4 linked regions of the Ovis aries genome follow. The protein of the gene in region 2 interacts with the protein of the main gene of each other region in a pairwise test. Links are inferred from orthologs where the notes say so. Each region holds a gene or a part of one and is shown on either strand. Other genes may lie near its edges.

What was found.
Region 1: the proteins of NMI (region 2) and TXLNB interact in binary tests that used the Homo sapiens proteins (3 or more experiments, as listed by UniProt). The two-hybrid records come from large-scale screens. The link is inferred for Ovis aries from reciprocal best matches to the Homo sapiens genes NMI and TXLNB.
Region 3: the proteins of NMI (region 2) and MTMR9 interact in binary tests that used the Homo sapiens proteins (3 or more experiments, as listed by UniProt). The two-hybrid records come from large-scale screens. The link is inferred for Ovis aries from reciprocal best matches to the Homo sapiens genes NMI and MTMR9.
Region 4: the proteins of NMI (region 2) and BRMS1 interact in binary tests that used the Homo sapiens proteins (3 or more experiments, as listed by UniProt). The link is inferred for Ovis aries from reciprocal best matches to the Homo sapiens genes NMI and BRMS1.

Annotation. Positions count from the first base shown.
Region 1 is NC_056061.1:64,222,607-64,226,168, reverse strand, and holds part of TXLNB (beta-taxilin), read left to right. Parts: intron 1-583; coding exon 584-778; intron 779-2,601; coding exon 2,602-2,721; intron 2,722-3,562. UniProt on the Homo sapiens protein: Promotes motor nerve regeneration. May be involved in intracellular vesicle traffic.
Region 2 is NC_056055.1:158,219,152-158,223,213, reverse strand, and holds the start of NMI (N-myc-interactor), read right to left. Parts: upstream 2,835-4,062; 5' UTR 1-2,834. UniProt on the Homo sapiens protein: Acts as a signaling pathway regulator involved in innate immune system response.
Region 3 is NC_056055.1:105,116,149-105,120,481, forward strand, and holds the start of MTMR9 (myotubularin-related protein 9), read left to right. Parts: upstream 1-1,514; 5' UTR 1,515-1,904; coding exon 1,905-2,086; intron 2,087-4,333. UniProt on the Homo sapiens protein: Acts as an adapter for myotubularin-related phosphatases. Increases lipid phosphatase MTMR6 catalytic activity, specifically towards phosphatidylinositol 3,5-bisphosphate and MTMR6 binding affinity for phosphorylated phosphatidylinositols.
Region 4 is NC_056074.1:40,819,824-40,823,979, reverse strand, and holds the start of BRMS1 (breast cancer metastasis-suppressor 1), read left to right. Parts: upstream 1-1,318; coding exon 1,319-1,457; intron 1,458-1,526; coding exon 1,527-1,617; intron 1,618-1,773; coding exon 1,774-1,901; intron 1,902-2,048; coding exon 2,049-2,128; intron 2,129-2,213; coding exon 2,214-2,310; intron 2,311-2,831; coding exon 2,832-2,924; intron 2,925-4,082; coding exon 4,083-4,147; intron 4,148-4,156. UniProt on the Homo sapiens protein: Transcriptional repressor. Down-regulates transcription activation by NF-kappa-B by promoting the deacetylation of RELA at 'Lys-310'. Promotes HDAC1 binding to promoter regions.

The sequences.
Region 1 (3,562 bases), on a different chromosome or scaffold from region 2:
ATTGCTGTAATTCATATATGGCTATCTTAGTTTTCCTTTCAAGCTTTTGGAGGACATTTATTTTTAATAAGAAAAAATATATATTGTAATCATTTATAGGAAACTTGAGGAACACAATTACATGATCAATATGCCATCATTTTTACACAGGAACATAAGATCTGCTGTTCCTCTTTCTGTACCAAACTAAGGGAACACGTGATCTATCCCATCAATCAGTAAGACTGAGTATCCTTTTTTCTAGGCCACAACCAAGAGATAGAACCTTCAGGCTGAATGTCTGTTAGGAAACACTGCAGTTTATTTACTCAGCACGGGACCCGTTGTCTTTAAAACAAGTCTATTTATCACCAGCTATCAAATTCAAGGCCCCTGCTGCACCTGCTCTGAGTGACCATGTATTCACAGTTGAAACCTCAGCTCAAACATTTATGTTGGGGCTGAGCAATGTTACCTCTAGAGAACTGAGGAAATATATCCTACTTACCCTGCACACTATTCTCCCTTCATCAACCAAACTCTGAGGTCTGTAAACCTAGGGGCTTATAAACCAGCATAACAAGAGCGTGCATTCTCTCTACAGGAGGAAACCCTTCAGCGGGCACGTGAGGAAGAAGAGAAAAGGAAGGAGATCACAAGTCATTTCCAGAACACCCTGACGGATATCCAGGCCCAGATTGAGCAGCAGAGTGAGCGAAACATGAAACTCTGTCAGGAGAACACAGAGCTTGCAGAGAAACTAAAAAGCATCATTGATCAGTATGAGCTCAGAGAGGAGGTGAGAACCACATCAGACAACTTACAAACACTCCATATAGGTCTGGGTCTGGTTTGTGAAGGTTGGGAGGTCAGTTAATAACAAAGTTATGACCAGCCTTCTCAACTGATTAATATTTAGGTTTGGACTTCTTTTACTAGCCAAAATAAAAACATATGATGTTACAAAATACCTGGCTGAAAGTCATAGAGGATTTCTTCAAAACTAGAATCACTGCGAAGCAGAGGCAATAAACAAGGGGTAGGACATGAATGGATTTATCCTTGAAAATAAAAAATATTATTTCTCAGCCTTTTTAAACTCTCTCTACAGAACCAAGAAATACTTCATGCATGCCCTCTTAAGAATTACCATGTCATCAAAATTAAAAGTCTGCATTGTATATACCCCACAAATAATAATATATATACTATTATTATATAGTATATATATAATAATTATAGTAATAATGGTATTGTTATTTTTACTTAGTTTGTACCAAGCAATATGCTAAGTATTATACTTTACATACAGTATGTCATTTAACTGTCTCAACAATTTTATGTACTAGATAATAATGTATTATCCACATTTTATAGATGGGAAGCAGAAGCTACAAGATTAAATCACATATCTACAATCACAAAAGCCAAAAAAGTTTGTTATCAATAGTTTACATTGGGGGACTATAAAGATCTTTCATTATTCCAAGATTATATTTTAATATTTAATATGTTTTGAAGATTCCAGATGCCCCCCTCTGGATTTTGATATGTCATATCCCTTTTTCCATCTCACTTAAAATTTTAAATCTCTGCCTTAAAATGTAATATAACATAGTCAAAGGAGCTCTGCTGGCAACATGCTAAGCTTTAATCAAGGAAAAAAAAAAAAAAACTGATAGCAGTTCGGTAAATCAAGAAACTTCTCGCAGTAGGCCATAATTCCATGCTACCATTTTATCTTGTTATAAAGATTAATCCTGCTCCAAAGTGGAGGTTCAAGAAAAAACAAAAGAGAAGGAGCTAAAAAGAGAGAAAAAAAAAAAGGTGCCCATACTCTGCAGAGAGATCATGTATGGGAATGACCTGGTAGACCAGTTGTATATTCCTAGGTTGGTTCTAGGTAAGGCCCAAATTCTACATGTCCTCTTGCCGATGGGACCCCTAATAACCAAGAAATTCTCCACACTGAGGTGGAGTTGGAAGCTTCATTTGACCAAGGTAGTCAACAGGTCAAAAAGCGTGGAGGAGGAAGTAGCATATTTGCATATCAATTCATCTGCAAACCTGAGCCTTGCTTGCCCACTAGAGCAACAGAGTTGATATCAGGGGGCTACTGCCTCAGTCCCAGACAAAGGGCCACAGGCTGTTACCTCAAGGCTTCCCCACACCCTTGAGGCAAGCATGTAGAGAATTCACCACGATAAACTGAATTAATATTGTGGTTAAATGGGATTTTATATTCACAGAAAGAGCCAAAATACCAAGTGATAGTGCTATAGCCCTTGTGATACACATCACTGTCTTTGGAGCCTAGGGTAAACTAGTGCCATATCTAATAGTTGTCATATTTAGAAAAATATTGTTGGGACCTTTTGGTGTTGCATTGCTGAACTCTGGCACCTCCACCTTTTGTAGCCACTTTCATGTAGTGCAAACTGCAGGAGACTCCACCAATTTATGACTTTCGTATAAAACCATAAGTGACACCAATGCCTTTATTCCTCCTCTTTTTAACTCTTAAAACCTAGAGAACACATGTTTATATCAATATTACTTTTTTATACATATGTTTTTCAGCATAATAACTCAACTTGATACGTGCACTTTACTTTTCCTCAGCACCTCGACAAAATATTCAAACACAGAGAACTGCAGCAGAAGCTAGTGGATGCGAAACTTGAGCAGGCACAAGAAATGATGAAGGAAGCAGAGGAGCGACACAAACGCGAGAAGGAATATGTATTTATCATATGCATCTATGTGCTTGTCTGGTCTGTCTTGGGGTCAGAGAACCCCTGAGAATGTTTTTGGTAACGGTCATAGAGTACTAGACTGATGGAGGAAGAGCCTAAGCTTCCCTGGAGAATGACACTGGCCAGCCCAGGAGGAAACACTGTACCTATCACTGTAACACTGTATCATGCATCCATTCACCAAACCTTTGGCAAGCACATTTCATGAGCTATGCCCCATTCTAGGTACTGGCATGTAGTGGTGAACAAGATGGAGAAGTCCACATCCCAGCAAGGAAACTGGAGTCTAACTTGGAAGAAAAAGGCAATAAATAAGCAAGCAAGCAAAGAAGGATAATTTCAGATAAGTGCTACTAGGGAAATAAGGAAGAACCTCAAAGGGGCAGAAGGAGGCCTCCTTTAGACTGGGTGACTTGGTGGGCCTCCTGGAGCAGAGGATGCTTGAGCTGCTCCCTTCCTGATGATCAGGGAGTCAGAGAGGAGGTCCCCAGCAGCAGTGTCTGTAGCAGAAACAAAGGTCCTAATGCTGGAACCAGCTTGACATCCTCCAGAAATAGGAGAAAGTCAGGGTAGCAAGAGTAGGTGCCCCAATGAGAGAAAATTTCAAAATGAAACTGTAGAGGTAAGCAAGGGGCAAACTGTATTGCTTTGTAAGCTTGAAATATAGTTTGAATTTTATTCTAAATATAATGGGAAAGTACTGGGTAGTTTCAGCAAAGGAAGTGACAGGGTCTGCTTTGCATCTGTAAAAGGTGACTTTGGCTGATAGGTGGAAAGTGAACTACAGAGGGGCAAAAGAGCTAGGCAGCAATCTGGGCAAGATCTGA
Region 2 (4,062 bases):
CATGAAAGCCAAGTAAAGACTGAGAAACTGTCCCAGACCTGAGGCTAAAGATACATCGTAACTAAACACCATGCATCATTCTTGGCTCTGTTTGTTATACACTATATAATAGGGACAACCGGCAAAATTCAAATTACATCAAAGGATTAGATGGCATTAATGTACCTATATTAATTTTCTGATCTTGATCACTGTATTGTAGTTATGTAAAGAATACCTTTTTTTTTTTTTACAGGAAATAAATACTCAAGACTTCCAGGTTAATGGGTCATGATACCTGCACTCAAATAACTCAGGAAAAAGAAAAGTTGTTACTTGTAACTTTTCTGTAAGTTTGAAAGGGTTCAAGAAAATTTTTAAAGATACATATTAGTAGTTCTTATTGCATCAACAACGGCAGTCTTTACAATGCTATTCATCCCATATCTTACATAATTTAACCCCAACTAGTCTTAGTTGGCTACCTCATGCGAAGAGTTGACTCGTTGGAAAAGACTCTGATGCTGGGAGGGATTGGGGGCAGGAGGAGAAGGGGACGACAGAGGAGGAGATGGCTGGATGGCATCACCAACTTGATGGGCATGAGTTTGAGTGAACTCCGGGAGTTGGTGATGGACAGGGAGGCCTGGCATGCTGCGATTCATGGGGTCGCAAAGAGTTGGACCCTACGGAGTGACTGAACTGAACTGAACTGTGTCTTATTTAGACAACTCCTGGACCAAGTTCCTTAACCACACTGAACAACCTAAGGGTTTCTCTTCTCCCTCATGTTCCTCAATGTCACATCCTCCCTCCCCTGCCAACCTTAATTTCCACTTAATGAAATCCTACTGTTCTTCAATGTCCATCCCAAATTCCACCCCCAAGTTCTTGAAGTCTTTTATGATTCCCCCAAATGATGTTACCTCTTCCCCATTACCTCTTTTGGGGAGCTTTATTTGTCTGCTGCTGCTGCTGCTGCTAGGTCGCTTCAGTCATGTCCGACTCTGTGCGACCCCATAGATGGCAGCCTACTAGGCTACTTTTGTCATTTTCCATGACAAGATGGTCATGACCTTGAGGCCAGGGCCTACATTCCCTCTTCCCTGTATCCATTCAGAGCACGAGTTCACATACTGAAAACACTTAATGTTTATAGGACTGCCTGGTATCTTGACTCAGGTATTTGCTCAGCCCCGGACACCTGGGGCATGCAGTGTTCTATGAAATGTTCTCATTACATTTCCAGAAAGCAGAAACTGCAACATTCTTTAACTGCTTTTTTAAGTCTATTCTTAATGCTTGTAATAAAAGCTCTCAATAATACATTTAACTCATATAAATGGTCTACTACTTAATATTCCCAGAACTTGTTACAGCATATCTAGTATCTGGATACTTTCCCTCCTTGATGAACGGGATGTATAGTAATAGCTTTCCTTTTATGCACTCAAAAGGTAGGCAAAATAATGGCCCTTTTAAAGAGGTCCACATCCTAACCCCCATAATCTGTGAAAATGTTGGGTTATGCTGCAAAGGAGAACTAAGGTTATAGACTGAATTAAGGTTGCTAATTTACAGCTGACTTTAAAATATAAAGCTCTTCCTGGATTATTGGTGGGGAACAATGTAATCATCAGGGTCCTTCTTCAAAGTGAAAGAGGAAGGGAGAAGGGCAGAATCAGAGTGAGATGTGACAAGGGAAGAATAGTCAGAGAGATGCAATGCTGCTGGTTTTGAGGATGGAGATATGGCACCACTCCTGAGCCAAAGGAGATGAGCAATCGATAGAAGCATAAAAGACGAGAAAACAGGTTCACATCATTAACCTCCAGAAAGGCAGGCAGAGCAGCTAACACCTTGATTTTAACTTAGTGAAGGCCACCCAGACTTATACTGAATTTTGTGTGTGTGTGTGTGTGTGGTAATCTGGACAGGTTGCAGGGCATGGAGGACCTTAGTTCCTCGACCAGGGATCAAACCCATGACCTCTGCAATGGAAACACAAAGTCTAACCACTGGACGGCCAGGGAAATCCCCCATACATAATTTTAAGATAAATTTGTAGCTTTTAAGGTTTTACTGAGTCCATGGTAATTTATTATGGCAGCAAATGAAAAAAAAAAAAAAAAAACCGTACAAATCACCTCCACCTGTTCACCACCTACTTCCCTAAGGCAAATCTTCCCATAGGCATGCCAGGCAGCAAAAACAAAGGAAATGAGGCAAAGGAAGGGGAAAAGGAGGTGGAGATGCGCAGACAGGATTGCTTCCTGTTGTTTTTTAACTTTTGCGTGTCGCATAGATAGGGAAACACCACATTCTGTTTTGGATGTCTCTTTAAATAAAATCCCTGTATGTTCTGAAAAATCAGGCACGACAGCCAAACCCTGCGCCTGCCAGGAGACTAAATCTCCCTAAGGAATCTGTTTTCCTAAGAACTTTCTCCAGAGACACTACAGAAACAGTGGGGAAACACAAACCATTTTAAGTTTCAATTTCCTAAACGAAGCAAAGCAAAGGAGACGGGGTCAGAGGCCGGGGCTGCAGGCAGAAAGCCCCGTGGGCAGGGGGCAGCCGCGCCCCCTCGGCAGCTAGGTGGCCCCCACGACCTCGGCAGCGGGCAGCGCAGGAGGGCGGCGCAGGGAATGGGGTCGCAGAGCCAACGACACCCTACTCTCCGCCAGGCGTTCCCACCAACCCTCAACCCCACCGGAGGTCCCCGGCCCCGCGGAGCCCACAGGGTCGCCACTCACAGCCTCTCCAGCCGGGCCCACTAGGAGCAGGAATGGCAGCGCGGGAAGGGGTCGCCCACTCACGCGCCTCGGCCGGCCGAGCGCCGCGCCCAGGTTCCCGGAAACCTCGCTGGCGGCGCGGGTAGTCGCTGGAACCCTCCGGGCCTGGCTGGGGCTCCCTCGTCCGGAAGCGCCTTCAGCCTTTTTCAAATGGATGGCCCGCGGATCAACAGTTTACTTCCTTTTAAAAAAAGAAAGAGAGAATAACAGAAGAAGAAAACTACCCAAGGATGATTTTGCTTCAGTCTAGTCACTGGTCGAATACCAAACCCGGTTCCCCAATGATTAGTCACTAACAAGTTATACCTATTTTCACTTTCGGTTTTTAAAATGTGTTGGTTTTGTTTTTGTTTGGAGGAAATCTACTCCCAAAGTGTTCCTGAAGTTTCCATAAACACTCATTTTAAGACATGTTTTAAAAACCACTCCTTCGGATGTGTATTCCAGGACGTGTTTTGGGAAAATGGGCAGAAACCAAATAAAGTGGCAGTCTCTCTTCAGACAATAACTCTCACTGTAATCTGTTGGTCACTGCAGCCTTAATCTACAAATCCTCACAGCCAGCACGGAGTCTGCTTTGGTGTGTTTCTTTTGTAACTTCGCAGGAAATTGGCAAAGTGTGGTGTTCAGCTGATTTCTGTGATCCATGTCCCTTGAAACTTTTCTCTGGTATTATTGTGAAGCTTGTAAACAAACGCTTCACTAGGTGTGATCTTTTTCTTTGGAACGGAAAACATCTGGTTTATTTCAAAAATGGCAGTGTTTCTGAATCCTACATAGAGAACCACCCCACAGCTGCACTTACTGTGAATAGGTCAGGGAACAGATGCATGAAATGACTTTTAGACAGAAATTCTAGTTGATAGTGCTGTATAGTCATATGTAAAACTGACATGTTATCTGATAAAAGATTAACCAAAATCAAAGTCCTTTATATCAAGAATGTTGATGGCAATCTAGTTTACGTTGGACTTCCTAACTGAAAAAAATAAAGGTATATAGACATTTGTGCTCATCAACCCAGTCAAAAGAGCAATAAAACGCTACCTGATACAGCTTGAGAATTACTTTTGGTCTCCCCTAGAATTTTATTTTTTATTTTATTTTTGGCTGCACCATGAAGCTTGTGGGATATTAGTTCCCTGACCAGGAACTGAACATGGGACCACAGCAGTGAAAGCACCGAGACCTAACCCCTGAACCACCAGGAAAATCCCACCCCTTAAAATTTTAGAGAACATGAACTCTGGAAATTATTTAGTTCAAACATCATTTCTTCTTTTACCTT
Region 3 (4,333 bases), about 53 Mb from region 2:
GGTTCCCTTTGCTCCAGGCTGTGTCTAGCATTTTCTCCTTGGAGGCTTGTTCACGATGACCCTTCTGACTGCTGTCAGGGGCAACCTCACTGGAGTTTTGATTTGCTATTCTGTAATCATTAGGGATGAAGAACTTGTCTTCCTGTGCTTTGGCTGAAAAGAGTATGAGTAAGTGTAAGTTTACTACACAAAGACCATGTCATCCAGTCCAATCACTTCATGGCAAATAGATGGGGAGACAATACAAACAGTGACAGATTTTCTTTTGGGGGGCTCCAAAATCGCTGCAGATGGTGACTGCAACCATGAAATTAAAAGATGCTTGCTCCTTGAAAGAAAAGCTATGACCAGCCTAGACAGCATATTAAAAAGCAGAGATGTTACTTTGCCAACAAAGGTCTGTCTAGTCAAGGCTGTGGTTTTCCCTGTGGTCATGCATGGATGTGAGAGTTGGACTGTGAAGAAAGCTGAGCGCCGAAGAATTGATGCTTTTGAACTGTGGTGTTGGAGAAGACTCTTGACAGTCCCTTGGACTGCAAGGGGTTTCAACCAGTCCATCCTAAAGGAAATCAGTCCTGAATATTCATTGGAAGGACTGATGTTGAAACTGAAACTCCAACACTTTGGCCACCTGATGAACTGAGTCATTTGAAAAGACCCTGATGCTGGGAAAGATTGAAGGCAGGAGGAGAAGGGGACGACAGAGGATGAAATGGTTGGATGGCATCACCGACTCAATGCACATGAGTTTGAGTAAGCTCCATGAGGTGATGATGGACAGGGAAGCCTGGCGTGCTGCAGTCCATGGGGTCACAAAGGGTCAGACACGACTGAGTGACTGAACTGAACTGAAAGTGTAGGTTGGAAACTGGCTTCCTGAATGTGAGCCCCATAGTATTTCTTTATCCTTGACCTCAGTTCAGTTCAGTCGCGAATGAGCTACTGAACTGAATTGAGGATTGATTACTCCCTTTTCTGAGGATTGCGTATATTTCTATCTAGGTTTTCTAGCGTTTGTATGCTTCTCCTCTTTCTTGTTCAAGGTCACAGCACGTTTACACTCGCCCTCTGTGATTGTGCGTGTCCAGCCGGCTCCTCCCTTCCATCTGGTCCCTTCTTTGTGGTCACAGTCACCGCCTCGATCCCAAATGTTATCTCTTCACGGCGAAAGGATGAAAATCGCCAAAATTTACGGCAATCCCACTCGCTGAATAGGGATAACTGCTCAAGTGCAGGCAGGCAGGTCAGGGACCTCCTCTCGTCGTTCCCTTTTTCTCCTGCATTTTCTCTTATGGAATATTTGTAAGAGCAGCGGGCGCAGCAGAGGGCATGCAGGCAGAGCTTTTTCTGCTAGGAACACAAATATTCGACTCCTGCTGTGCTTCCGGAGACATTCTCTTCGCACCTAGGTGGGGACCAATTTCTGCGTCGGACTGTTCCGTCTTTGCTGTTTTCAGCCCGTCGCTTCCGCCCGGAGTTGCTTTAAGTTCCCGCTGTGAGTAGCTACTTCCGCCAGGAGTGCTTAGCGTCTTGGACTTGGAAAGTGGCCCTGGGCGGCCTTGTCCTTCTCTCAGCCTGGCTACCCGAAGCCAGATCTCAAGGTGGAGGCGGCAGCGGCTGGGCCTGTCGCAGAGCGTTCTTTTTGCCCAAGTCCTGGGCCTGAGGTTACTTAGAGGTGCTGGAGAGGCGCCCAGCCTGGCCCAGCCCGGGCCTTCCCCGGGCCAGTGACGGTGGCCAGAGGCCTCGCCGCGCCCACCCCAGCCTGGGGCGGGGCGCGGCCTCCGAGCCCGGGTCCCGCCCCTGCTGCCTGCTGGGCGCGGGATCAGTGCCTCCGGCCCAGGAGCGGTGGAACCGTTTTGCGCCTCTGGGACTCCGCAGTCCCCTGGCTCCGGCCGCTGGAGAACATGGAATTTGCTGAGCTGATCAAGACCCCTCGGGTGGACAATGTGGTGCTGCACCGCCCTTTCTATCCGCCCGTCGAGGGGACCTTGTGTCTGACTGGCCACCACCTGATCCTCTCCTCCCGGCAGGACAACACAGAGGAGCTGTGGCTTCTCCATTCAAACATCGACGCCATCGACAAGCGGTGAGTGCTGGTCCCGTCCATCCCCTGTTCTGCGCGCAACTCAGATGCTTGTCTGCGGAAACCCGTCCTAGCGTTTTCCTTGTGTCCCCTCGCCCAACCAGTCAGCAGAACGACCCTCGCTCTGGCCTAGACTGAGGGTTTGAGTTTTAGAAAGCTGAAACCATCCAGTTGAGATACCGGGTTTCCATTCATTCTGATTGGGTTACCGTATGGCTGTTACTGTGATTATCATTTTTGGTACATAACACTATTTGAATGGATTTGCAACGTTTTCATTTTAAATTTCTTTTCCTTGCACCATCATATTCCTTGAATGTTAACTGCCCATCATAGTTCATGAAGTTGTGAGTGAATGTGATTACAAAGTCTTTACTTGCAACTTTTGAGGAAAACTGAAAGGACTCAGTATATAGTGTCTAAATTCCACAAACCCTTCTCCCCTCTCGGAAATGTTCAGTTCATCATATTTCTCCTTGTTTCTTACCTTCTGGATCATCAACTTAAGACTTCCCATTTTGGAAGATTCAGTTCAGTTCAGTCGCTCAGTCGTGTCCGACTCTTTGCGACCCCATGAATCACAGCATGCCAGGCCTCCCTGTCCATCACCAACTCCCGGAGTTCACTCAAACTCATGGCCATTGAGTCGGTGATGCCATCCAGCCATCTCATCCTCTGTCATCCCCTTCTCCTCCTGCCCCCAGTCCCTCCCAGCATCAGGGTATTTTCCAATGAGTCAACTTTTCACATGAGGTGGCCAAAGTATTGGAGTTTCAGCTTCAACATCAGGCCTTCCAATGAACACCCAGGACTGATCTCCTTTAGGATAGACTCATTGGATCTCCTTGCAGTCCAAGGGACTCTCAGGAGCCTTCTCCAACACCACAGTTCAAGAGCATCAATTCTTCGGCGCTCAGCTTTCTTCACAGTCCAACTCTCACATCCAACATTTCCTGATGAACAACATTTCACAGGAAAAACCATAGCCTTGACTAGACAGACCTTTGTTGGCAAAGCAATGTCTCTGCTTTTTAATATGCTGCCTAGGTTGGTCATAACTTTACTTCCAGGGAGTAAGCGTCTTTTGGAAGATTAGAATGTGTTTTATTTTCTTTACTATCTGTGCTTTTGCAAAGAACAGAATAGGCTCTTAAACAAAGGTATTCATTAATTGACTTTTGTTTGTTTGTTTTTTTTTTTTGCACCCCAGGCTCTCTTTCCAGGGTAGTGTCTCAGGAGGCTAAAAGTTATAGTTCATCTGTAGTCAAAATTACCATTTCCGCAATGGTTTTGTGTACTTTAGCCAGAAGGTGATTTGGTCATCCAACTTAGACTAAAGTATAAATGAATGACAATAGTTTTTTTGGTTAGTTCTCAGAATTTTGGAGAAGGCAATGGCACCCCACTCCAGTTCTCTTGCCTAGAAAGTCTCATGGGCGGAGGAGCCTGGTGGGCTGCAGTCCATGGGGTTGCGAAGAGTCAGAAACGACTGAGCAACTTCACTTTATCACTTTTCACTTTCATGCATTGGAGAAGGCAATGGCAACCCACTCCAGTGTTCTTGCCTGGAGAATCCCAGGGATGGGGGAGCCTGGTGGGCTGCCATCTATGGGGTCGCACAGAGTCGGACACGACTGAAGCGACTTAGCAGCAGCAGCAGCAGCAGCAGAATTTGGAGGTGGAGGAGATTCCCAAAGTGGTTATGCCTTAAAAGAAAATTATTTCTGATAGGAAAAGTTAAACAATATGAGTAAAATGATGATAGATTTATTTTCAAGCAGCAGACTCCTGTTTGACTCCTGAGATCACCTCCTGTGTAAAAGTTTTCAGTGTTCCTTTTTCGCCTTTATGGCGGTGGTGGTTAGTCACTCAGTCAAGTCCGACTCTTACAACCCCGTGGACTGTAGCCCACCAGGCTCTTCTGTCCATGAGATTTCTCAGGCAAGAATACTGGAGTGGATTGCCGTTTCCTTCTCCTGGGATCTTGAAGACCCAGGGATGGAGCCCTCATCTCCTGCATGACAGGCAGGTTCTTTGTAGCCGAGCCCCCAGGGCAGACCCCTTAGTCTGTCGTGTATGGCAGTTCTCGTTCTAGCCCTAATCTACTTTTCCCTGTTCAGTTCTTGCCATTCTCTTTCCTGAACCCATTTGCCCAGTCAGTCAGTCCTCACTTTTCATTTTGGTTCATCCGTGTCCTGCATTCTCTCACGTCTGTATTTTACTGACGCTCTTCCTTCTGCCTCGAATGCT
Region 4 (4,156 bases), on a different chromosome or scaffold from region 2:
CACTCAATGTGATGACCAGATCTCTGCAGCCCAGATTTCTCTCTGAGGCTTAGACCCATGTGTCCCCACCCCTGCCCCTTCTCTCCTTTCAGGGTCTTTTTCATGCCACTCACTCTCCTTAGAATGCTTTCTCTTCCTCAGCCAGCTCAGCTCATGGGTTTGGCCCTTCATCCTCTGCAAGCCCTCACTGCTGCAGCAAGCTCCAGGTTTCATTTAGCTGCCTCTCCCATATGCTCTTGGTCTTAACTCTTCTGCTTCCTGGCCTCTCTCTCCCAGGAACTTGTCAACTCCTTGAGATCAGAAAACTGTCTGCCGCACTTGAGCCAAGCTCCTACCATAGTGTCTGATGGTACCTAGCATATGTTAGATTTTTCAATAAAGATTAAATCAGTGAGTAAAAAGATGTTTAACACTGTTCTTTGTTGCTGAGAAGTCAAGATAGAGACCAAAAAATATTGGCATCGGGTACAAGGAGGTCATCTATTAACTCTACAGGATCAGTTTCAGCTGAGAGCAATGATATGGAAACAGATTGGAACAAGTGGAAGGTGAAAGAGTAGGAAGAGCATGTGTTTACAAGACCTTGCAAAGATGGGAAATGGGGGCCGTGATTGAGTGGAGTGGGATGAAGTTTTGTGTTTCTGCTTTTTCTGCATGTTGGGAAATACCTAAACATGTCTAAAGTTTCCTAAGAGCTGCCAAGAGGGAAAATTGAGCATGCAGAAGAGAGAGTGGAGTACTGATGACTTGGGGTCTTAGAGGAGGCAGAAGGAGGTAGGATTTGAGCATAGCGAGAGGACCCGAGCATTGTAGGGTGGGAAGAGAAGTGGAGGGCTTTATAGGCAGAAGAACAGCACAGTGGGCAGCAGGGGCTGGGGAGGAAGTGCGTGGTGTATTTGAGAACTGGCCATTAGATGTGGGGTGAAGGAGCTGGACAGCGGTTCAAGTCCAGTGTGCAGGGCCTCGAAAGCCTGGGTCAGAATTTTGGCCCAGTCCCGTAGGCAGTGGAGAGCCCATCTTGGCCTTTCCCATCTTACAGATCATCACCTTGGCCAATATTACGGGGATTGTGATCACCAACAATGTCCAAGGGGATGGGCATTTCTGTGGCTCCTAGATTTCTGGGAGATGTGTAGATGGTTCCATTTGTACCTGCCCCACCCTGCATGTCCCTAGGGCCCAGCGAGTCCAGTCCATTCCCTCCCCTGCTTGTCCCCATCCACAGCGAGGCTTGATTTGACTCCCCAAGTGACCACTTTGCCACTCGGAGCTGGGGACAGGGGCGAGTGATGGCTCCACTGCTCCTCCCAGCGCCCAGATGCCCGTCCAGCCTCCAAGCAAGGACACAGAGGAGATGGAAGCAGAGGGCGACTCAGCTGCCGAGATGAATGGGGAGGAGGAGGAGAGCGAGGAGGAACGGAGCGGCAGCCAGACCGAGTCCGAGGAGGAGAGCTCAGGTGAGCCCCACACGCCCTCGAGCGCCCTGCCTGCCCCCGCAGCCGGCCCTGACTGGCCTCTTGTCCCAGAGATGGACGAGGAGGACTACGAGCGGCGCCGCAGCGAGTGCGTCAGTGAGATGATGGACCTGGAGAAGCAGTTCTCGGAGCTGAAGGAGAAGTGAGCGAGGGGCCCGGGGCTCGGGGCCCGGCTTCCAGGAGGCAGCGGAGGGCCTGGCGCCAGCCAGGGCCGGTGTGAGCAAGGGCCTGACCCGGGGCGCTGGGCACGTGTTTAGCAGATGGGCACACGGGCGCACGGCTGCCTTTCGCCTCCCAGGTTGTTCAGGGAACGACTGAGTCAGCTGCGGGTGCGGCTGGAGGAAGTGGGAGCTGAAAGGGCACCCGAATACACGGAGCCCCTGGGGGGGCTGCAGCGGAGCCTCAAGATTCGCATTCAGGTGGCAGGTCTGTGGCCCGTCCTGTGCCCCGTCCCCTTATGAGAACCCACGGCTCTCTGTCCCCTTCCCCTCTCACCCGTGCCCTGCCTCACCCGCCTTTGTGGGCAGCCAGGGCCCTGGCCAGGCCCGGCCGCCCATCGCCCTCCCTCCGCAGGGATTTACAAGGGCTTCTGTCTGGACGTGATCAGGAACAAGTATGAGTGTGAGCTGCAGGGAGCCAAGCAGCACCTGGAGGTGAATGTGGGTGCGCCGGGTGGGGAGGAGGTGGCCGCCCCGCCCCACCCCGCCCCGCCCAGCTGAGCCGCTGCGCCTCTTGCAGAGTGAGAAGCTGCTGCTGTACGACACGCTGCAGGGCGAGCTGCAGGAGCGGATCCAGAGGCTGGAGGAGGACCGCCAGAGCCTGGACATCAACTCTGGTGAGGCCAGCGGCCAGCCGGCACCCCTGTGCTTCCAGCGCCCGTTCCCTGTCTGGGCCTTGCCTTCCCCGCTTGCATGGGGGTGGGTGTAGGAGGGCCTGCTCCGTGCTCACCGTGGGGACTGACGGAAAGCAGGCGGGGAAGGGCCCAGCCCGGTGCCTGGTGCACAGTGGCAGCTTGGGGGTGCCCTCCCTCCGTGCTGGTCCCAGAATGGAGGCATCATTCTGACACACGTGCCCCTGCCATGGCCACAGTGTGCCCATTCACACAGGGCACTGGGGAGGGAGGGACTAATGATCTCACACCCCCATCCATGAAACAGATGAGGAGACTGAGGTTAGCAGAAGCACAGTGACCTCTTTCCCAGGATTGAACTCAGCTTCCAAGCCCAGGCTTCTCTGCACTGCCCTGGGGAGGTTGATGGGGATGGGCTGGCCTGGCCCACGTGAGGGACACAGGCTTCAGGGGTGGGGCGTCCTGGGAGGACGGCACCCTGATGCTGACTCTGGTCTGGGGCGCAGAGTGGTGGGATGACAAACTGCATGCCAGAGGCAGCTCGAAGACATGGGACTCCCTGCCACCCAACAAGAGGAAGAAGGCGCCTCTCGTTTCCGGTATCCTTCCCCATACAGTGGCCTGAACTGGGCAGGAGGTCAGGGTGGAGGCACATGGGGGACAGAGGCAGACCAGACTCACTTAAGGTCATCTGGCCTCCTGTGGCCGTGTCCAGGCAGATCAGCTGTTGAATTTTCTGCAGGGTCCTCCTGGCCTGTGTGGACCATGGAAAAATAGAAGCATTCATCCAGAGATTTCCCCATAGTTTTCTGAGTGAGGTCTCCTCTGAGGCCCTTCTGGCTTTCTCACAGTGTCTTGGGCATGTCCCAGGCTCTCCCACCCCCATGCCTTTGCTGACTTTACACTCCCCTCTTGGATGCCTTTACCTGTCTGCCTGCTCGGTGCCCATCAATTGTCACCTCCTCTGTGAAGCCTCTCCTGGTTTCCCCGACAATGGCTGTGGCTTCCCTCTCCTCTGCACCCCTTTACCTGAACGGGGGCACCTGCCTCCCTTCTGGACATAGTCACCTCTGCCGCCCCCCAGGTGTGAGCCCCTCTTGTTCAGGGCCTGCTGTGCCGGCCTCCCCCCCTCGCATAGCCCAGCACGGAGTTGAATTGAATTCTCAGGTATACACACCCCTCCATATTTCTGCCGCAGTCAGATTATCAGGAAGTTGACCTCCTGGTGATGGGGATCATGTTCAAGCAGGGAGGGAAGGATCTGGACTGCAGAGGCTTGAGCGGGGGTGGGAGGTGAGGGTGTGGAGACGTCAGCGGGCAGAGTGGCCAGTCCCCAGACGGGCGGGTGAGACCGATGGAGGGTGGTTTTCAGGACAGAAGAGATAGATGACAGTCTGCGTGTAGGTGGGGCCAGTTGAGGGAACAGGGGGCGAGATCCCTGAGTGGGTGGCCTGGGCCTGGGCCTTCTGACCTTGAGGCCTGAGAGGAGGTGAGGAGGGAGCCAAGGGGCTGAACGCCCTCTGTGGACTGGGTGAAACTGAAATAGGCCGCAGCCACGCACTCCACCCTGCTAAGAACCCAGGAGCCACGAGGTCGGAGGTGGAGCCTGAGTGCTGCCCCAGGTGCTCGGCTCCCCAACCCGCCATCCACGGCACCGCCGCCTCTGAGTGCTGGCACCTCCCACCCCCTGGGCTGGGGGCCCGGTCCCATCCCCTGCCCCCTCCCCACGTCTCCTGTTTCCTTGACCCCCATCTCAGGCCCTTACATCGTGTACATGCTGCAGGAGATCGACATCCTGGAGGACTGGACAGCCATCAAAAAGGTGGGTCTA